Drosophila melanogaster: one gene and its partners. The protein of the gene in region 1 interacts with the protein of each later gene in a pairwise test. Each region holds a gene or a part of one and is shown on either strand. Other genes may lie near its edges. The genes, in order: esn, CG14275, CG6724 and rngo.

Region 1 (4,624 bases):
ATGGAGCTTAAAGGCATTGTCTATCGACCATACAACCAATGATTGATTACTAACGATAATGATAATACAATCACCTTGAGCATCTAATGTTCTCAGTGCACCAATTTTCACCTGCTGCTGGCATCTGACAACTGCTTTCGCTGACATTTCTCCAGTTGGAGACCGTGTGTCTCGGTTTTAATCAAAATTGTTTCATGAATTGTTCAGTTGTTCCAACTGTCAAATAAAGTTTTGACGCCCCTCTTTTCGGAAAACTCCGGGCAATTAAAATACTTTTGGCAGTCACTTGCTTATTTCGTTTGCCTTCAGCCGCTTCATGTTGGCTGTTCTCTTCTGGCCTGGTCCTCAATTAGTTGGGCCATTTCGCCCATCACTCTTTGAGTGTCGAAAGAGAGTGCAAATATTTAACGTTAAATGGGGAAATTAATTTATTTACTTTCGTCTTTCATTGCAGTTGGTGAAACAATTTGTTAAAACGCAAACTTCGCAATGGCAATTCGTTTGGGAGAGTTTTGAAGGTAAGTTAAAAATTCAATTGAATCCTTTAGCTTGTAGTAAAGGTCACTAATTTTAAATTATTTCTGGTTGTTAGTAGCCAGAGAAGAAAGTATAATTGCAAAGTGTGAGAAGTTAGCGGCTCTAATTAATTCATCGAGAGAGACACTTTATATAGCGACTCAAAATAATTCAACGAAAGACACATTTTATATTGTGCAAATAATTTTCATAGCATTTTTATATCCGAGATAGTTAGTGGAATGCCTCGGAAGTGAAACTGGTCTTTGATCTATTAAGTCGATTATCAAAATCACCACATAACTTTAAACTAAAAACCATTTTGAAGAATACTTATCCCAAATATCAACAGGACATAATTGCACTGGCTAGTAAATTCTAGCTCAGCCTCAATTGCAATGAATCAGTAGCTGCGTGTTAATTGAATAATATGTGAAATCGGTGTCGACTCCATTACCGTCCGTGTGCTGCCACAAGAAGAGAGTCCCGTGCAGCATAGGGAAGCCACAAACCCTAATTTCCAATGATTGGTTTGTTCCCTCGTCCACGTTCCATCCGCCCGTCTTCATTTCCATTCCGGGGCAAACGGATGGATTTCATGAGAGGGGCCTTACCCGATTACCACATTTTCACCAAGCCCGCAGTCTAATGACCACCTATGAGTGCGCTGCTAATGTGGTAACACAACGCCCAAGGGACGCTGGCCGTGGTCTTCCCTTGTTGGCCGTGATTGAAATGGGTCAATCGCTAAACGGCCTGAAATGTGTCAAATGGCCCGAAGACAGCTGCATCAACCAGTTGCAGCTACCAGAATCTGCCTCTTCAATAGCTGGCTAATAAACGCCACCACATTCTGGCTCGAATCCGAAGCACTCAACCGAAAGCCACTCGACTCACCTGTGCCACCTGTTTTACCTGCACTTGCTTGGGCCACAAGAGCGAGCGAGAGATATATAGATGAGAGAAAGAGAGCTGTGGTGAGTTGGCTGGATCGTCTTGGTGGTGAGTTTGACCTGCACCAACCTGGCCAAAAGCCGCCTTTCGGCCAACAGCTACTTTCTACAATCTTCAGTTGTTTGAGCAGCCCCAAAGCGAGCGGTGCGAGTGCTGTTCTTTCGCGAACCAGGAATTCAGATAGAATCCCAGCCGATACGTATCAATCCGATCGCGAGTGCACGTAATTGGAGCAAGCGGATCGCCCGTTAATTGCTGGCGACGGTAATTGCAGGCCGCCGCATACCTGCCAACTGCTTAAGGTGTTCCCCGTTCGTTAATGTGTCAATTGATTGATTGGCCCGCGACCCGTGATTGACGTGCGTTCCACTCACCGCGATGCTCTCGAAGAAGCGCTGGTGGAAGATCCGGCTGCCGCAGGTGGGCAAGCAGGATCAGTCGAGGAACTACCGGGACATCGTCAACCTGAGCGAGTGCTCCTCAGTGCTGGCCAACACGGCCACCACGATTAGCGACAGCTCCACCACCACCGCCAGCAGCGGCAGTCCCACCCGCCACCGGAGCTGCGACAGTCTCTCCAAGAGCTCCCAGGCGGAGGCGGGCAAGCTGTTCCCCCGGAACATGCCCAGCATACGGCGGAGTCGCCGACGGGCTGTGTCCGCGGAAAGGGAGCGCCTGGCCAGCCGGGAGCGGCTGGAGGAGCAGGTTCAGCCGCCGAAAATGCCGCAGATAGGAGCTGGACAGCAGTCCCGGCTATCGACGGTGACCAAACTGACGCCCAGGAAGCAGAGTAGCAAGTCCACGTGCTCCAAACATCGGGGCAACGCCCCTGCGAAGTGCATCATCAAGTCGGCAGTGCGAACCAAGACCAAGCCAAAGGCCACCACGATCACCCTAGCACCCTACGAAATAGCGCTGGAGCTGCCCAACGAATCCCCTGCACCCACTTTGGCCATGGCCGTGGCCCAATCCTCCGGCTGCGTGCAGAGGAAGCTGAGCAGCGAGGATCAGTTCCACTCCTCGGGAATCTCCTGCAACGGGGAGACCGACGATGACGTGGAGGTGGCCATGCTGACCGGCAGCTTAACGCCCTCCCAGATAGCAAGGATCCAGGGGCAGCAGATCCTCCGATATGACGATCTGAGGAACCTGAACCGCTGCCGCAACAGGAACGCCGTTTGGCTAAATCCCAAGGATACGGAGCAGCTCCTCGAGGTGGACAAGAGCAGGAGGAAGGCCAACTGCTACTTCAACCAGGCCATTGCCGACGATATCCAGCTCAGCGATATTGAAGAACAATTGGCCAGATTTGATGGCCACTCAAAGAGGCCGCCACCGCCGGCAGCCACAGCACCCAAAATGTGAGTTTCCACCGGCTATCTCTAATGGCCATAACTCTCGGCGATAAGTGGGCGAGGGAAAGCGGAGTTGTCGGCGGGAATGTGGCCAACTAATTTGAAATCCATTTGATGAGCTTTGCATTTCCCAATTTAAGTGACTATAAAACGGGCGTCGCAGTAGAGAGTTTACGGCCCAATTTGATGGCTGCTTAATAGCTTCATATGAGCCGTGCTCCGTGCTCCGAGTTGAGGAGCAGTTGGGTTCTGGAGGATTCTATTCCTAACCACTGGAATCATACTTTATGGTTCTTCAAATTAAACTGGCTATTCGAAGTTATAGGCAAGGCAGATCGCATTAAAATGGGCTGGCACACTGACAGCTTTATAGATTTCCGACTTACGTTGAGTTAATACTCGTTATATTGAAAATGGCCGCTTTCGTGTTTGGTAATTTAATACCTTTTAGCTGCCGTTGAAAATGTGGGTCTGCAACTTTCTACCAATGTTGTTTTTACAACTATTGAAAGAGAAGTACGAAGGCCAAACAATTTACCGAATTTACCGACTACAATTGCAATTGTTTAAAAGGTAATAAACCAATGGACACGATTGTTGTTTTTGGCCCTTGGGTTTATAGCCCATTTGAAGTTTGCAATGTTAATATGGAATTAATCCCGTGATCTTTTTTTCTGTTGTCATTTTTGTCACCATCGCCATTTCTTTCCCTTATTAGATTTCATATTGTTTAGGATAAATTAATTTCTTCAGAACTTCTTAAGGAATCCAGAACGATAAGGCATACCTCTTTGGCGGCTCATAAATAGAGCGGAGTTTATCATTTTCACCTGATCAACAGCCGTTGTTGGCTACGCGTATCAGTTTCAATTGCGCTGAGAGTACAAATCCTACAGGTCACCCTCGAATAATGGCACAAATAATCCGCCATAAGAGGCTCTGTCAGCTGGAGGCGACTTTGTGGGCTCGCTAAGAAGGTGTTATTAATGCCCGACTATTTGCAAAACTGGCACCGGAAAGTTATTTATCAACTTTCTGGCCAGCACGTGCTCCTTCCTTCGCCTCGCTGTCGAGTTTTGTTAACTGCAAAATGAATTGCATGCAGCTAAGTGGCAACAGCAGCGGTTAAACGAGGCTGGCAGAACTTCGGGTCCACTGAGCCCATCCTCACGAGGTCCTTCTCCTCCGATCGCCCGTCACCTTGTGTTTGCATCCTGCAGCCTCATAAATTCCATCCGACGACTTCATAAATTGAGTTCTTTTTGCCGCCTGACTGAGTGCCCTTCATCGAAAAGGTATTCTGTATCTTTCAGATCTTTCAGATCTTTCAGGTCCTCGGCATCTTTGCCATTTCTGCCATCTCTTCCATCTTTTGTATTCTCTGCATTCCGCATGCAGACTTCATTTGCATGGACTTCTGTTCATAAATCTACGCAAACTGTTAATTAGATTTTGTTTTGGGTGAAGCCATAAAATATTGGTGGAAGGAGTGCGCCATCAATTTCCCTTAAACAGAACTTTGTAATTTGAGACGCACATCCACCTCCAGTTCCACCTCCAGTTCCACATCCATATGCACATCCTCTCGAGCCATTCGCAATCAGCGGGGCTATTACATTCGCAGTTTAAATAAACCAAACCCAATATTGACTGGCGGCTACTTAAAGCGTAATTAAGCGCCTGGCCGGCCGAACACTTTGCATAGGAATCTCAACAATAAAGTAAATAAGTTGGGACCGCCGGCGGCCCTCTTTTGCCAGCCTGGCTAATTGAAGTTGGCCAGAAGCGAGGGGCTAGTC
Region 2 (7,566 bases), on another chromosome or scaffold:
TATAGGATTTTAAGTAAAAAAAAAACTTAATAATGCCCTTTATTGCAGCAAAAGATCCTTCCCCTAACTAAAAATATGTTACATATATTATTAGCTTAAGCTTATTAGTAAGCTTATTATATTCTCATTTCACACATTTGAAAGAACGTCCTCGTTTTCCGTTTTCAGTGTAATCCTGTGTTTGACTTAATGGGCCAACATGTCAGGGTTTCATGCTCATCCTCAACAATAAAACTAACAAAGTTGCCCTATTATTTTTGGCCTGCGTAGACAGTGACTTTGACTCTGGGCCACAAAACAATTTCTGCAGACATTTTGGCAGCAAGTAACTGGACGATAGACAGAGATAGAGCACAGGAAGTGTGTGAGAGAGAGAGACGGAGTGCGTGGGCGAGTCCTTGGTCAATTTAAGCGTTCGTCCTCCTCATTTGCCATGAAAAATTCGATTTTATACATTTGGCGACAAGTTCAGAATAAAAGAATGCAAATAAATTAAACATCATAGATTTCTTTTAAATACGATGCTTATATTTTTATAGTAATTAAATATAAAAATACAGAATACAAGACTAAACGCGAAATAGCTGCCACGTATACATAACTAAATATGGCAAACAGCAAAGAACTTAGTGCAAAATATTTAAGACTTAGCTTAACCAGTTAGGATTAGGTACGTTTTGAATGGAGAAAACAGGATGCAGGAGCTGAAGGTGAGCTGATCGATGACCTAATGCCTGAGCATGCTGGCCAGTGCCAGACTGACGACAGATCCAACCAGACTGTAGCCCAACTGGCGGACACCCAGCAGGGAGCTGGCTCCATTGCATCCCTCGTCGGGACAGGTGCAAATGATCTGCTTGTAGCCCTCGTTGTCGGCGGTGAAGCAAGCGTTTTGGATCTTCTCCGGAATGAAACCACAGCTTCTCTCGATTCTGCGCTCGTCGTTCTGCTCGAAATTGATCACCGTCTTGCGGCAGAAGGCCACCTCACCGCTGGGCGGGACGCAGTCCGTCAGGTACTGGTTGTCCCTCTGGGCACGAGGAGTGTTCACCACCAGGCCACCGCAATCCTCGTTGTCATGCGAATTACACTGATGGCACCGAATGGCATTCACTGCAAGGACAAACCAATCATATACGTTGATTAATTGCTTTTAATTCGTAATCGTGTAATATATTCAAAAACAATTCCATGAATTAGTATAGAAATTCATTTATTAATTAATTACTTAAGAAATTTCAAAATGTATGCATTTGTGCCTTGTATTACGATTAGGTAAAGCCTCCGCTTTAATTAAACTACTTTTATCCTCGTCGACAGTAATTGGATACGTGCAGCCACTAATGGCATTCAAATGCCTCGCGATTCGCCCTTTTCAAAGTCCTCGTCACACTGACAGAAATTGTTTTATTACAACCACCCAACGCCACCCCAAAAAAAGTAATAGGAAAAAACATTGGGAGGCCGTTCTCTGACTGACAAACCGAGTCCTTTTCAACTGCAGTAACCTGAATAATTGCATGTCAACTGCTTGGGGCCAACAAATAAATGCCGAAACATCCAGACTTTGGCACGCAAACCGTCAAGAACTCAACAAAAACTGGGCTTCAAATCGCTGGGCCTAAATTGATGCGAAGTGCAGTAACCCTAACTAAGAGATATGGAAAATGCAATAGGAATATAAAAAATATAGAATATGCATGTGTTAAATAAAACATAAAGTACACAAATTTATGATTAAGGTTAAGTCTTTTGTTTCAAGCGTTTCTTACATTTTAAGTGATATTTTCTATAAATATCCATATTTATATCAGAAATATCAGAAATTTATTAACCCTTCTTTAATTTGATAGGTATAATTTCGATAGATATCAAACCAACTTGCTGTACTAATGAAATAATTAGCTCATTTAAAATCTAGTTGAATTAGGAAATTAGCCTTTCCATTGGTACGATTGCTCCTATTACCATATCAATTTTCCTTTCAGCTGATTTGACAGTCTCCATCCAATTTGGTTAGCAATACGATGGGTAAACTTGAAGCCGTCACTCAGAAGAGAATTTTTCCCATTGAATCCGGTGAAAAGAAAAACTACATTTGCCAAAGGGCAAGGACATGCTAACTTGGAGGAACAGTAACCTGAAACTCGTTATTATAAACTCGAAATATGTCTAAGCTTTTGTCAGGATTACAAATGTCGAACGGGTCGTATGAGTAATATTATAACACTTTGGTTACTAACCACTTACTTGGGCAATTAAACGAATCCAGGGTAGTGCAAACAAAAATTCAGTAATAAAAAGTCACCTGCCATAAAAATCAGTAGTAAGAGTAGTGGTAGGGGAAACTGAACTGAATTTGCATTTCTAGCATTTGCCATTTGCATTTTACATTTGTTGCATATTCATGCGGCTCACCGGTGAACTTGTGGCAAGTGCGGAAAATCGGAAAAGCGGGTGGAAATCGAGGCAGTCGAGCGCAATATCTCTCAACTGTTGCAACTTTTCGCCTGACAATTGTTCGCTAATGAAACGCGCTCTTCAGTTTGCCGTGGAAAAGGTTGTGTGCTATTCACTCGCCACTGGAATGCGCCCACAAACGTGCATATTTGCCCAACCGATTAATGGATCGAGGGTATATATATGTACTCAATAATATAATATAAACAACCACACATTTGTTCGCGTGCAAATACATTCAATATTATTTAACGCCATTTAATGTTCCCTTAACGAGTGAGTGCGAGTCGCCGAATTGCTTGGACAATCAATTTACTCCAAGCGGTGGATTACAAACGGATTCGGGCAATTGTGTGTGCGTGTGAGCATCGCGGGTATAATTAGTTTAAACTCTCGGATTTTTTTAAACAATTATTTGCCCGAAGTGATATGTCGAATGATGAGGTAATTGCTACAAACGCAGTGGGCATCGCTTAATTATTGAACGTATAAGGAAAATCAAAAAAGTTCTAGCAAATAAAATTAAACGAAACATAAATTAACAAATAAAATATTTTAGAATATTATCTTTCTATTCAGTGAAGCAAATATTATTTAAAAAACTTGTAATATGAATTCATCATAACTTAGTACGATAAATGCCAATATCTAGCGCTATTCATTTCAGAAATCAATAGGTTTGGCCATTTATCATCCTTATTAAAATCCCCCGTCATTTATGAATTTAGTATAGTTTTCTTTGCTGTAGAAAATAAAAACTTTTCGATTATTTGAAGCTCAATCTGGATAAACACATTTAAATTTGGCGCTTGAATGGGCAGCATCAATTTTCTTGATAAGTTTTGGTGAGTCACGAATGCGTTTGGCATCAGTTTCCACCCCGCTGATTATATGGCTTCTTGTTTTGTGATTGGTTTAAATGATTTCGAGTAGGGAAAAATCAATCAATTGGCGAAAAACCAATTTTGACAATCACTAAAGTGTTGGCCAACCAATTGGCCTTTTGTATTACACTACATTGAAAGTGATTTTCAATTGATTAGCTGAATAAAAGCTAGCTGATTACTTTGAAACATAGAACACTACCTACACTGCACATAATTCTAACTTAATTTTTATTAATTTTATTAGTTTCAATTTAAATCTATTCCATTTCCTAAATATTATACATTTTTCTGATAGATATAAGAACTTACCTGTTAACAAATTGGCGGCCAAAACAAGGCACATGGCATAGACGTAGGTTGTGATTGCCATTTTGTGGTTTTTGATTGCAGTTACTAGATTTCCAGTAGACTTCTCCAACGCTGATGCTGTAAGTAGTATTAGATTTTCGCATTTTATTTATCAGATTTTTCTCTCTTTTTTGCATTGAGGTTTGTTTGTAATTTGATTAGCACTAGAAGCAGCGCATTGTTTAATTAGCATTGCTCTGGTAATATTAATAATCTATAATTCTTTGTATACTACTCTTATTTACACTCGTAAACCGGTATCAGAACGTGGCTATTAAACGTGACAAGTGCAAGTGGTGTGCTGATGCAACTTTTGGATTTTTTTTTTTAAATTTGAATATTCAACGAGGCGGATTGCAACAAGTAGCTGCGAATATGTAAATTTAATTTAAATGTTGTGTACATCCAGTGAGTTGTGCACAGTTCAAAAAAATTAAATTAAAATTTGTTTTCTACCCAATTAGCTTATATCCATTACAGATTACAATCGAAGTCGTTTTTCACAAACAATTTAAGCCCTTTCAAAATGTTATTCGTATGCATTCAATCACCTTTGATATTTTCAATAAAATGCTAAACAACTCTTTATGATCATAAGAAGTTACAGCACACAATTAATATATTGTTGATTAATGCGAACGGACAACTGGACGCGAGCACCGTCGAGATGAATCTGAAAACTTGTATTTGACTTTTCGAAAAACGTTGATTTTTCAAAAAGCCAGCTCATTGCGAACTGAGAGCCGAGCCGAGCAGATTGGCTTCGGGAGAGCGAAGAGAGCGAGATCGGCCCTAAAGGCAGCAAATGGAAAATATGTGAAAACTTCCGTCACTCGATCGTCTTTACGGGGTCGTTTTATATCAACATATATACCTATGTATGTTAAATACATACATATATGTGCGACTATATAGGGGGATGCTACACAAGGTAGTTTCCACGCCGCATTGATAAGCTCCAGCTTCGGTTGGTTTCAGCTTGGTTCTTAACCCGAATGCAAAACACAGTCCAAATGGAATCCACCGGCTTGAACCAGTTAAGTCCGAATTGTGACGTCACTCGCAAACAGCTCCCAAAAAAAAGTAAATAAACAATGTATGTACTATACAATACTATACTATATATAGCTTTTGAATAGCCACTTACTATGCCTATTAACAAAAGATAACCATTGTTTAAGTAAGATTCCCATATGCAGCATAATATTGGTAGTATAAGCCAATAAAATGCAATAATGGCTAATAGCCATATAACTTTATAACTTTTCATTACTATACAAATAATGTGAATGTTAAGTTTATAAAAACTGACGTACAAATTACCTAGATTTTCCATAAAAAAAGTAATAGCTAATTCATTTGATAGGAAGTTGGAATCTCAAATTCGGGCCAAGATGTCATTGGCTCTGCAATCTTTTCCCATCGAGTGATCGATTTGGTTCCGGTGAGCTGGGTTTTTGCGATAGGAGCACGTTCTGACCGCCATAACATGGACTGTACGAGCTCCATAGAACGGCAGTTCCTTATCAACGGCGCTGATTAGTTAAAACTGGTTCGCACCTCCAAAAACTCAGCTGTGGTGGTTCGGTCTAGTCCGCATCGGTGACGAAGTCAGACTTTCGGACTCAACTTAATTGGGAAAATCAGTGGATTCGTCTTATCTGTCTCTCTTCTAGTTCAAGGCGGTACGAATTTCTTGACTCATCATTAAATGTTTTAAATTTTGCCTGACGTAAGGTACATATCTGTGCAGTGCATTCATTAGGTGTTCGATTCTGCAAACAATGCAACTAATTTTTAATTTCCACGCTGCATTGTGTGAAGCGCCAAGCTAAAGTGAATATGCATATTGCCGCGCTCAGTTGCCGGTTTTAGCCAGTTTGAAGTGGTTCTTGGTCGAAAACAGCTCTCAATGAAAAGTGGAAAATTTCCTTAACTTATTGTGATTGTGTGGGGAAATTTTTGGAAACTAATTTTCCTATGTAATGGTAAAATCTTCTGTTCATAAATTATGAAAGTGAATTTATCTTTTCTTTTATTGTGTTTGCTTGGAAATGAAGAATCTCAAAAAGCAAACTACACAAACTGATCTCAAAAATCTCACTTCTTGCTATCTATTTATTTAATTAAATTAGGAAATACCTTTTTTCTTTTGAAATTTTTTACTGTTTTGTTGCACTTCTATTGTTAGTTTTTGTTTGTTTGACTTTAAGTGTTTAAATTCCCACCGACAGTAGAACCAATCTACTGCAAATTCAACGTGTAACTGAGGTCTGTGAATATGAGATCTTTGTCTTCAGCCAAATGACATTGGTGGGTTCGTATCGAAGTCAGAAATCGGAAATCAGCTGATCTGCGAGCATTATTGGGAGGTCAGACTGGGGATTCGTTTGAAACCAAAAACAAACTGAGGCAAATGAGCCCGATTCTTGTTTGCTGAAACCGGTTTGCCGGATTTTTTTTTTTCTAACAAGTGATTTCTGGAAACGTATCTCTCCTGTTCGCGATTTCAATCGCCAGACTTCATGATTAATTGCGCATAAAATACGAAATTAATGCGAAGCCACGGAACAAAAAAAAAAAAGTAAATAAAGGAAACTTATTTTTTGGGGCTAATGCTCTAATTGAAACAAGGGGAAATTCTCACGGCAAATAACCCATATTTTGTTAGAAAAGCTTTTAGTCGGTTCTTCAACACATTAGAAGCGGTAGCTTAAAAGCTTAAGATTTCAAAGCTTCGCGTTTTAGTCGGACTCAATGTTATTTAAATTTAAACAATTTGTTGCTTAACATGTTAGTCAACATTTTGATTATTCGTACTTTAACCCCAATCCAAAGCGAAAACTCTTTTCTTACTATCGCTATTTATAGTCGCAAACATTGTTTAATGCAATCAATTTAGGGACATCACACTGAGAAATATTTATTTTCTCAATTTTTTATTTAAATAAATTGAAGTTATATTAATAAAAAAATAAAATAAATACACCTAACATTGTAATAATGAATAAAAAAATATATAAAAACGATTTAAGTGTGTCAAAATAAAAGTAAAGTGAAGATAAATGCTTACAAAATATGAGGCTTCCAAAATACTTATAAAAGATCGACTGCATATTATGAACCTTTTTTTTTTTAAGTGTAAGTACAAGCGCGACTGGGAGACAGGGTAACACAAATCTCCCCAAAGGGCAATCTGCCCCCACGGATTCCTCAATTTCGCGCACTGATTGGGGCACAAAAGCCAGGCAAACCGATCTGCAAAAATATATGTACATATCATACATACATATATGTATGTACATATATAGTGCATATAGTGAGTGAAAGAAAGACTTAATTCAATTGACCAGCGTCTTGGGGCAGCAATTTGTGCGACTTTGTGATAAGCAACGTGGCTGGAGCTTCAAGAGGAAGCCTGCGATTAAGCTTAATTAATCCCGGTGGATTTGATTTCTGCTTCTACTGTGCGACTTCTCCGGCTATTCACGTGCTCACGTCCTCCTGATCTCCGGCTATGGATTGAGTGTCTGGACGCCTAGTTGAAATGGCGCTCAGGGTTATGAGTGAATGAGGCGAATAGTCCAGTGCACTGCCTTCGGCTAATTGCAGCTTCTAATTGCGACTACTTAAAAATACATAAATAAAAAGTGAGATGCCAAAATAAGAAGAAACAGAAGTGGAAGTGATTAAGAGCAGATTATTTTAATACAATATGTAAACATGTATATATTTCAAAACACCTAATTCAGGGAGCACGATTAGCTTTTTAATGTATTTGTTTATACAAACATTTTAATAATCTTAGCTTAGAGATCTCATTTCTGAATCGACCTTTAACGGCCAAACAATTGATAGGCAATGTGATGAT
Region 3 (4,015 bases), on another chromosome or scaffold:
CCCTGTGTCGCCTGCTGCCCTCTCGCTCGCACTCTCGCGCACACGGCCTTCGCAGTGGATGCACGGCTGTTCCGCTGGCGTCCTTGGTGGGTGGCAGTGTCGGCGCTCCAAACTCCTCGGCGGCTCACGGTCGCGATCGTTGTTATTTCGCTAAATTACAGTTGGCAAATTACGAGGCGACGCAGAGCCGACTTTATCTTTGTTAGAAACTCGATAATTTGTATGTTTGTAGCCAGCTATCGGTCCGGGTCCGTCTCTAGGTGCTCGCGCTGTCCGCTCATCCTTAGCGAACTATCGATGTTCGGCTTCTGGCAACCGTTTTTTGCCTTTTCTAGCACTGTGGCAACTCGGAAGCGGATACCATAAAAATAATATTCAAGTATTGAAATCTAACTATTTCGTAAATGAAATAAAAAACAAGAATATTTACACCATGTATAATACACTTTGAATACCTCTCTGCTTCACCCACTTCGATAATTTAAGTGTAACACCCCAGATGTAAAATCTTTCAATATTTACTTTAAAGTTTAAACTAGTTTTGTATTTATAAAAAGTTTACAAGTTTTGGGATTACTTCGTCTCCGCTTCTTCCGCTAGCGCCTTGCGAGATTTGAATACGCGCACCGTGTTGTCGACACCACCAGATACAATGTACTTGGGATTGGACCAGTCGATGTCCAGGACCTTTTCACCGTGACCCAGAAGATCGTACAGTGGGGCCTTGGGACTCCTGCAGTCCCACAGCTTGTTCTGGTTGTCATAAGCGCCGGAGACAAATAGGAACTCCTCCGTGGTGGACCACATGACGGTCTGCACCCAGGCATTGTGTCCCAGATAGGTATTCCTTACCACTGATCCCTCTGAAAGATCCGAATTATATTGGTTAGGTGGAAGTTCCATTGTTGATATTGGAGTATTAGATCTTACGGTTTGTCCTAGGATCATAGAGCCGCAGATTCTTGTCCGCCGAAGCAGTCAGTATCAGCCGATTCAGCTTTGAGTAGCTCGCATCGAATATGGACTTGTTGGTGGATATTTCGGTCTTGATGCCCTCAAGACTCAGATCCCACACCTTGAGTGTGTGATCCCAGCTGCCAGTTAGCAGAGTGGTAGCATCCATCCACTGCACGGCTGATACGCTCTCACGATGTCCCTGCAGCGTAATTTTGGGGGTCTGAAAGGAATTGTAAAGCTGATTACAAGTCTAATTATAAATGGCAAGACTACTCACTCTCACACCGCTCTCTTTCATCCGCTTTGAGCTGCCCTCGACTGCATCGTCCAGCTCTGCTGACCACACCTTCAACATCGTGTCCCAAGAGCCCGTGGCAAATCTCAGACCATCCGGACTCACGCTGACACTGTCGACGCCTCGCTCGTGGCCCTTGCACACGGAGACACATTCCACCGAGTTGGAGCCCACGTTCCACTGCCACAGCATGGCGGTCTGATCCTGCGATGTGGACACAAAACGTCCCGTCTCCTCGTCCAGCGATATCCAGTCCACCGCCTTGATGGGCGCCGTGTGACCAGAAATAGTGAGAATGTGCTTGCCTTTGTTGGTCCACAAATTCAGGGTGTTGTCGTAGCACCCGGAGAGGATCCACTTTCCTCTAGCCTTCACCGCGGACACCCAGTCGTCGTGCAGCAGGCAATCCTGTGGCTCTGGCGCCGGGAACCGCTCCACATACTCGATCTCGATGGCGTCCTCGAAACTGATGGCTTTCTCGCGCAGGTGATCGCACAGCCGGCCACGCAGGTACTCATCGAACACCAGGAAGTCGAAGTCCGTGTCGGAAGAGCCATCTTTTTGACGCAACAGTGCGTTCACGAATGTGTTTAGCTCCACGGTGGTGACGGTGCCATCGATGGCATAGGGCACATCAGGCACGGCATAGCTGAAATAGGGTATCTTGATTAAAATCTTCTACTGATAGAGATTCTAGATGGACACTCACTGCTCCTGCTTGGTCTTCAGGTGCACCTGCACCTGCCCCTCGCCGTTATCCACATCCATCTCCTGGCCCACGTGCGTTTCTTTTTGGCTGGATTGGGATTGGGGTGTTCCCGCGTGTGTTTGCTACGGTTATGACTTAACTCCTGCAGGTGGTACAAGGTGTTGACCACTAAACTAGAGGTTCTTCCTTCGGGAGATCGTTGTGTAAAATTAAATTGAAAAGAAGCGTGTTTTTAAACGAACGATGGTAAATGCAACAAATACATGCAAAAACACTAAAAAACGCCGAAGCGCATGCCGGAATAAGAGTTATCGCATTGCTATCGCTGTGCTCTTATCGAAATGCCTTATCGTCTTGTTATCACCCGTTACTACTAAGCGGAGTTTTTAAATTCAAATTTTTTGGTGCGTTAAAACTATGCATAATTATAATAGCTTGCTTAAGTGTAATTTGCCGATTACTTTAACAAATAAAAAGATATTAATAGAGTGTATGGTATTTCTAATCACTTTGATTTTGTTTCTCTAAAATATTACTCATCAAATTCGAAAAACCGCTGATTGCATAACCACTGCTTTGTCGTTTCTCCTTTTTTTTATTACAAAAAAATCTTACAGAGATACGAGCCAATTCGCAATACTGATAATTAAATATTTTTTGCAAGCAAATCAGGCGCAGATGATTTGCTGTAATTTAGCCACTAACTGCTTCTCTTCCTTTTGATCGTCTTACGCAAAATGGAAAAATAAGAAACCAAAAAATGCACAGCCGCGGCGGCAATTTGTAAATGACTCTTCAATCTTCAAAGACTGGTAATTGTTAATATTTTACGTTCAGGCTATTAATATGAACCAGATAGCACCTGAAAGACCACTTTGCGGCCGAGTGTTCACTGGAAGGTTAAATGCCACTTGACATTTCTGAAGTGGCGCTTAACCTTCGCATCAAAATTGGACAAATGCCCAAGAAAATAAAAAATTTCCAATAAAAAATGTATTCACCTTAATGGGTCGATGGGGATATTAAGCTGGGAAGTAATAACACTTTTTTTCGGTACTACTACTTTGTGCCACCATTTTGGCTTTACAAAAAACCAGAAACGAAGCGAAATGAAAGAGTTAAAGCTTTCCAGATTTTCGGGGCTTCCAGCGGCGCAGCTCAGCTTATAAAACGGGCATTGCGCCTGCGCAGCCGAAACATTACAACAAACGACGCGCGCAAGGTAAGACCATAACCAAATCCAGTCCGCATCGAGCGCCACTGAATCCGTGCATCTCTTGCAGTTGAATCCCCTCGAGAAAACCCACAAAATGAAAGTGTTCGCGCTGTGTTCGATGCTCGCCCTGCTCCTGGCTGGTGCCCAATCCCTGCCCCAGAATCGCGAGGGTGCCGCCTACACGAACGAGGCGATCCGGCAGGCGCAGCAGACGCTTCTCATCCCCAAGGATGCCCAGATCCAGAACGTGCAGGAGGGCATCGAGCTGGGCGCGTACGAGCAGATACCCGGCAACCAGCGCATCAATCTCTTCGAGATCCTCGGCGACCAGGTGCCCTCCGAGGTGATAAACAACCTGCAGTCCCAGGTCGACCAGATCGGTCGCAACTAAGTCGTAGGACCACTTCCTTGGTTAGCTCATTGCATTTCGTCCTCATTGTTAAGTTTCTCACTAATAAAACGAAAACATTACAAGTATTTAATCGCAGCGTTTATTTACCACCCAAAACAATTGGAAAAAAAAATCCGAAAAAAATATTAAAAGCGAAAGTGATCCTCCCCGAAAACCAGTTGGTTCCTCTGCAAACGAACTCTCGAATCGAAACGAGTGATTTATTGGTTTGATTTGTGGCTTTTTCCTAACGATCTTCGCCGACTTTCTCCTCGCTGATCCCGCTGCGCATACGAATTAACAATAAAAGTCGGCACATTGCTATCGCATGGCATGGTATCCTATCCTCAACCTTGTTACGTAACCCGGGGATGGGAATGGCGATGGAGTCGCTGGTAACCCGAGTGGTTGCCCCGCCGGCAACTTTTGTGCTGCGGTCGTGATGCA
Region 4 (6,185 bases), on another chromosome or scaffold:
TCATCCGTATCCTTTTAGCTATGTAATGACCACATCCACTACCAAGAAGACAGACGGTTTAAAGGCTCTGGAGGTGGCCATTGAGCACATTCGCGCCAAGACCAGCGAGTACGATGGAGAGTTCAAGGTGATCATGGCACCCAAACTGGTTACGGCCATCGACGAGGCGGATCTGGCCAGACGCCTGGAGCGCGCTGAGGCCGAGAACGCCCAGGTGGCTGGCGACGATGACGAGGAGGATGGCGCCGACCAGGAGGGCATGCAGTTCGATCCAGAGAAGGAGTTCAACCACAAGGGATCGGGGGCGGGTCGTGCGAACGAGGAGGATGAGGAGGAGGAAGAGGATTAGCGTAGCCACAGCATCAGACACAACTATAGCAACTGTAACAAACAATTAAAGGAGTTTTGCAAAAATCAGAAGTTGTAATTTTATAATTTATATACATAACATATAACGAATGCTATTAAAGATTTATAAAAGTGAAAACAGCGAGATGCCCAAGAAGACAAATCAAAATGCGCTTGCTCATCTTTTTCTTTTCAAATCCAAAACAATACTATCGACCATTTATTATTGAACCCAATTCAGTTTTTCTTGACAGACCCTTAATACTAATTCAAATTGTGTATAAGTGTAATATTATTTAATAGTCAGGCATTCTTTCGTTTTTCTTTTGTATTTACTTGTTTCATGTTTTCGTTGATGCGGCTTGTTTCCATCACCGTCCAGATTTTCATTCATTAAATTTTAGATTATATCGCTTACTATTCTCTCTAGAAAAAACCAACCCACCTCTGCTTTAAAAATGACCCGGTAGTGCTGCGTAGCACCCTAATTAGATATTGTACATCGTAACAAACGATTCGTATAAAAAAAGTGACATCAGTTTATAAACATTTCACTAAATTAGAAAGGTTTTCGTTTCGGTATTCATTGCTTTGTGGTTGTGTATAGTCCTTACTATTTCCTATTTGACTTTATATGTGGCGTGGCGTGGCTTATTATTTGGTATTGCTCGGAGTATTTCGTTGGAACGGCTTCCAGTTAATGGGGTCCAGTCTGTTCATCATCCTATTGCAATCCGGTTTCTGGCTATGGGGAGTTCGGCTTTAGGTGGTGGTGTGGGCTGTGCGTCTAGCCGCGTTCAGCTGAGTTCGCTCCCCGAGGCGGCATCGTTGCGGTGGAGCAGCACGGACCTGGCCGCCTGCTTGTTACCGCCGCACAGGCGCAGCACGGTAAGCACATCGCTGCGAGGATAGCCAAGGGCCATGAGATCGGTGACATCCTGTTCGGTGAATCGTTCTTGAGGACTGATCGTGTTGGGCCCGCCACCGGCGCCACCGCTCTCCCGTTTGCTTTGCTCGATTGCATTGGAAATCGCCTCCTGTTCCATCGAATCCTCCGAGTTTCCTGTCAGCCGGGCGCTGACCGGCAGCTCACTTTCCGGCAGAAAGGGTGTCGTTGTTCCCGTGGTGCCAATAATCAACAAATTACGCTGCAAGTCAATCAGGCACTGGAAAAACCAATTCAATTAGCATTTAGGCGACGTAATCTGATGCTATCTAGATTTCATTACCTGATGTCGCTTCAGCATGTCCAGACCCAGCAACATGTCCATGGGTTGCTGGCCCAGCACGGTGAAACTGGACGTTAGGTGATCGTTCTCAATCTGCAACTGGACCATGTGTATCCTGCCCAGAATGGGCTGTGTGCCAACGCCCTTGGCCACACCATTCCAGCGTGTGTCAATCAGACGGTTGACATGGCATCTCTCGGCGCAGTCTTTGCTCATGATCGTCGTCTGGGCGCCAGAGTCCACAAAGGCCTTCACAGGAATGCCATTCACTTTGCAGTTGATATAGCTAATAATATGCAATATTGCAATGAGCCAATCCAATCATATTAATTATTTTTACCATTACTTACAGCATTGTAACCGTGCCAAAGATCTCTGGATTGTATTCAATGGCAGCCGCCATGTTATCCTGGATATTCTTCTGCTTGATCTCTTCGGCAATCAGACGTTGAGTCTCCTCATCGAAGGGATCGGCGTTTAGCATGCGCATGCGGTGCTCGTTACGACGCTTTCGCTCCGTAATATGCTCGCGAAGCAGCCGAGCGAACTTTTCCTTGTCGCCGGAATCGATGGCTTCCGCCAGGCTGGGATTGTACTGCCGGAGGAGCGACAGAGTCTCGGGACTGGACAGAAACATCTGTCGCACCGTCTCTGGGTCGTCGTCGAAGTTCACATTGAACTCATCGGTCGTGGGTATGTCCGTGAGGTTGTTGAACTGCGGCTGCTGCACTCCCTGCTGCTGCACCCGCCTTGACGGTGGACTGCCGCCTGAACTAGTGCCCGGCACGGCGATGTTGCTGAAGTCGAGCGTGCTGATCGCTGGATTTCCGCCAACTGAAATTTTTGAATGAGACGAAAGATTAATCGATTGAGGTAGTTTTCTATTGCGTTTCTTTACAGGATTACATTTGTCAATATTCGAATCGATTACATTGAATATAGTTTAAAAGACAATTTGTGGTCAGTGCAGTTATCTGCTACAAATCGAGAAAATTATCAACATATTTACGCGTAAAATGGAACAAATTTTGAGAAAGAAAGAGCAAGCAATACCTAAAAACCTCAACAAATTTTGCCCAAATATAATCTGGCTTGCAGATTGTGAAATAAATGATTGCGTATAACTCATGCTAATTACCATACAACAAACATTTATATACATATGTGCATATGTATAAACGTTTGTCGAGATAGATTAAATCACCGTCATCCAATTTGAATGGAACTTAATTAATCTGTGATCTATAATCGAATTAAAAACATCAGACTAGCGAGATAAACCAATGCAAGTGCAGTTGTGTTAACTAGATAATATGTACATATCTGTAGATAAGTGATATGTAGTTGAACTCATTTTCTGGCTGCCAAATGAGCTTGCTCGCGTGCGAGTCATGGAGTCCAAAGTGCTGTGCAATGGTCAAATGAAATCGAAAATTGTTCACCGCCCACACCTGTCTGCAGTCGCCAAAATGTGTGCACATGTGTGCAGAAATACCATTCATACATATGTACATATGTATATAGCAAAACAATTATATATACACGATCCCATTTCAATGGACAAGCTGACAAGGCCAAATGCGCATTCAGGGGTCAACAAAACAGTGGTCCGGCCACAGTGGGCGGCCCAAGTGGGTGGATCCATGGGGCTGAGACTGAGGCAAAGGCAACGCACCTGCTGCTGCTCCTCCACTTTCATTGGTATGCCCATTCCTCACCGAACCCGAACCCCCCTCTCTGCTGCAGTGGAAACAGCACACACTTCCAGTGTTCTTTCCCGTGTCTGTGTGCCGCTGTTTTTTTGGAATTTGCGAAAAGAAAGTCAGACGAAGCAAGGCGTTTATTTTTAACACCAATTGCGCCGCAAAAAGATGAGCTGTGCTCGCTGCGCTTTTCCATAAAAATCTAGCAACTAATAACGCCAACAAATTAAAAAAAAAATGAGCACAGTTCAAATTTCACATTGCAAAAGTATTGTTAAATGAAATGTTCGCACTACGTATTCGGGGTTTCCCGGTTTTTCCTAAATATTATGTTGCTGAAGTATTTTTTAAGCGACATTTGAATATAAACGTGTTATGGATCATGTAGGACAATAATTAATTTTATTATTGTGCGAATTCGCGTTATCTGACCAATGAACCCCCTTCACCATCCTCCAAAACACACTCAAGATCCCCCCCCCTCCACGGGGAAAAACGTGACCCACATAAGGATAATGGCTCCCCCTCTCTTCACCCCGCTCTTTCCACTTTCCCATCTCGTTTCCATTCCAACGCCGAATTTCAACTCTCTCTCTCTCTCACCTGGGCGATTGGCGCTCCTGCGTCGTTCCAGCATGATGAAGTCGCCGTCGCCGACTCCGCACTGTTGCAGCGTCTGTTTGTCGCTGGAAAGCTCCCGCCCGTTGAAAATTACCGCTATTTGGGACACTTCCGCACCGATCTCCATCGCGCAGAGGGCCTTGAGATTCTCCAGCTCAAGATCCTGGGCCACGTCCAAGCAGAAGACCTTGTCATCGCTGGTCGTCACTGTGATTTTCATTGCCGCTGCGTACTGTGTGTATGTGTGTTGGCGTTTCTGTGTTACCGTGGTTTAGGTGGATCGAATGTTAGCGAGCGCGGGTATGTACTGCACTGGTGGGTGGCAAAGTGAATCACAATCTCTGCTGGTCTAGCCTTTTCGCCTTTATCTTTGCTAGCTGGATGGGTGTGCTGATATTCTGCTGCTCGCTTATTGTTTTGACACAACAACGAAAACGCCGCCTCCACGCGGTTGCATGCGACGCCTTATCGATACTATTCGCGGTCTGACTATCGATAGTTGAATGGGATGGCTAGAGCATTGCTCATTTGGAGGTATTACGACGAATTTGGAGAGACAAATGATTTTCCTCTTACCTTAGTTTAACATATTTCTCAAAGGTAAGCCAAATGGAGCAAAAGCTAAATATAGATAAAATTTCATCGATATATACCATCACTGCAGGTATCGATACATATCGATGACTCATGTGCTGTCATCGAAATTTTATTGTATTTACTTTATTCAATTGGAGTCACTTGCAGCGTTTGGACACCAAGGAGCTTTTCGAGGAGCATAGCGAGAAACCAGATAAGCCACCATGTCCACACAGCAAGCGGAGAATGAGGAGAGTGCAGCGGCGAAGTCCAAGCGACCTTCAGGTGAAAACCCAGTTTCATGCGAGTCGCCCCATCCAAATCCCAATCCCCCAATAACACACTCACACACACTTGTCTGCGTAACAAGTGATAAGGAGGGGAATGACTAATATCCAATGGCAAATCGATTTTCGGGGCCCATCCTGGTGTCCCTGCATTAACCATGAGGTCATGCCAAGTCGCTCACGTTTGCCCGTTTCCCATGTTGTCCACCCACAGATTCGGCCTTCAAGCAACAGCGCCTGCCCGCCTGGCAGCCCGTCCTGACCGCCCGCACCGTACTGCCCACCTTCTTCGTTATCGGAGTTCTATTCATACCCATCGGCGTGGTCCTGCTCCACCTGAGCAACACCGCCAACGAGCTGATCATCGACTACACCAAGTGCAGGCGCTCGGGCGGAAATACCACCTGTGCGGAGTATCTGGAGGCCAACCCCGGCGTTACGTGCCCCTGCGAGGTGCCCTTCGTCCTGCCCTCGGACTTCAATGTGAGTTATAGGGATCCAGAGCTTCAGTAGCTGTCCAGCTCAATTAATCAGCTCTTAGTTTAGGTAGTGAAGTAGTTCAAATGAAAAGCTATATGCTGCTTTTATAATCTGCAAGGCATTTATCAACATTGCTTTTAGCAGGTTTGGAAAAGATATTGATGATATTGATAGTGGATTTGGATTCCTTATAATACTTTAGAAAGAGATTCTCATTTAAGTATTTCGTTAACTTCCTTTTTTAAAGGGTGTGGTATACATGTACTACGGACTGACCAACTACTATCAGAACCATCGGCGCTATGTGAAGTCACGGGACGACGAGCAGCTGCTGGGTCACCTGTCGCAAACGCCCAGTACAGACTGTGCCCCCTTCGCCTATGATCCCGATTCCGGAAAGCCCATCGCGCCCTGCGGTGCCATTGCCAACTCGCTGTTCAATGGTGCGGCACAGAAACTACCTTGACTGTACCGCAACTAACATTGATATCTTCCAGACACGCTGACCCTCTTGCAGGGTGGATCCGAGATCAAGCTGCTGAAGACGGGCATTGCCTGGCCGTCGGACAAGCGCGTCAAGTTCCGAAACCCAGAGGGTAACCTGAACGTCTCCCTTGAGGGCTTCTCAAAGCCAATTTTCTGGCAGAAGGGTCTGGCCGACCTGGACCCGGAGAATCCGGACAACAATGGCTTCCAGAACGAGGATCTGATCGTGTGGATGCGCACCGCCGCTCTGCCCAGCTTCCGGAAGCTATATCGCCGTCTCAACCAAACGAACACCAACTATGCCAACGGCCTGAAGTCTGGCAATTATACGCTTAACATTAAGTATAGTAAGTACGAATGGCTGGGATATCGCGAATGCTGTATCTAATGTATTTGTGTTTTGCCCTTCAGATTATCCGGTGGTGTCGTTCGACGGCACGAAGCGAATGATACTC

What was found.
Region 2: the proteins of esn (region 1) and CG14275 interact in a two-hybrid assay, tested with the Drosophila melanogaster proteins (one large-scale study listed by BioGRID).
Region 3: the proteins of esn (region 1) and CG6724 interact in a two-hybrid assay, tested with the Drosophila melanogaster proteins (one large-scale study listed by BioGRID).
Region 4: the proteins of esn (region 1) and rngo interact in a two-hybrid assay, tested with the Drosophila melanogaster proteins (one large-scale study listed by BioGRID).

Annotation. Positions count from the first base shown.
Region 1 is NT_033778.4:7,105,094-7,109,717, forward strand, and holds the start of esn (espinas), read left to right. Parts: upstream 1-1,586; 5' UTR 1,587-1,848; coding exon 1,849-2,831; intron 2,832-4,624.
Region 2 is NT_033779.5:8,325,855-8,333,420, reverse strand, and holds CG14275 (uncharacterized protein), read right to left. Parts: upstream 5,966-7,566; 5' UTR 5,838-5,965; intron 4,374-5,837; exon of another isoform or gene 4,247-4,373; intron 3,774-4,246; 5' UTR 3,718-3,773; coding exon 3,657-3,717; intron 1,114-3,656; coding exon 728-1,113; 3' UTR 510-727; downstream 1-509.
Region 3 is NT_033779.5:10,767,714-10,771,728, forward strand, and holds CG6724 (uncharacterized protein), read right to left. Parts: upstream 2,240-4,015; 5' UTR 2,021-2,239; coding exon 1,962-2,020; intron 1,902-1,961; coding exon 1,235-1,901; intron 1,178-1,234; coding exon 931-1,177; intron 864-930; coding exon 574-863; 3' UTR 521-573; downstream 1-520. Other genes in the region: CG17127 (uncharacterized protein), read left to right, coding at 3,272-3,568.
Region 4 is NC_004354.4:16,439,719-16,445,903, reverse strand, and holds rngo (rings lost), read right to left. Parts: upstream 4,352-6,185; 5' UTR 4,122-4,351; coding exon 3,884-4,121; intron 2,412-3,883; coding exon 1,928-2,411; intron 1,864-1,927; coding exon 1,578-1,863; intron 1,515-1,577; coding exon 1,146-1,514; 3' UTR 537-1,145; downstream 1-536. Other genes in the region: eIF2alpha (eukaryotic translation initiation factor 2 subunit alpha), read left to right, coding at 19-349; Cdc50 (cell division cycle 50), read left to right, coding at 4,702-4,762, 4,979-5,247, 5,492-5,687, 5,742-6,077, 6,142-6,185.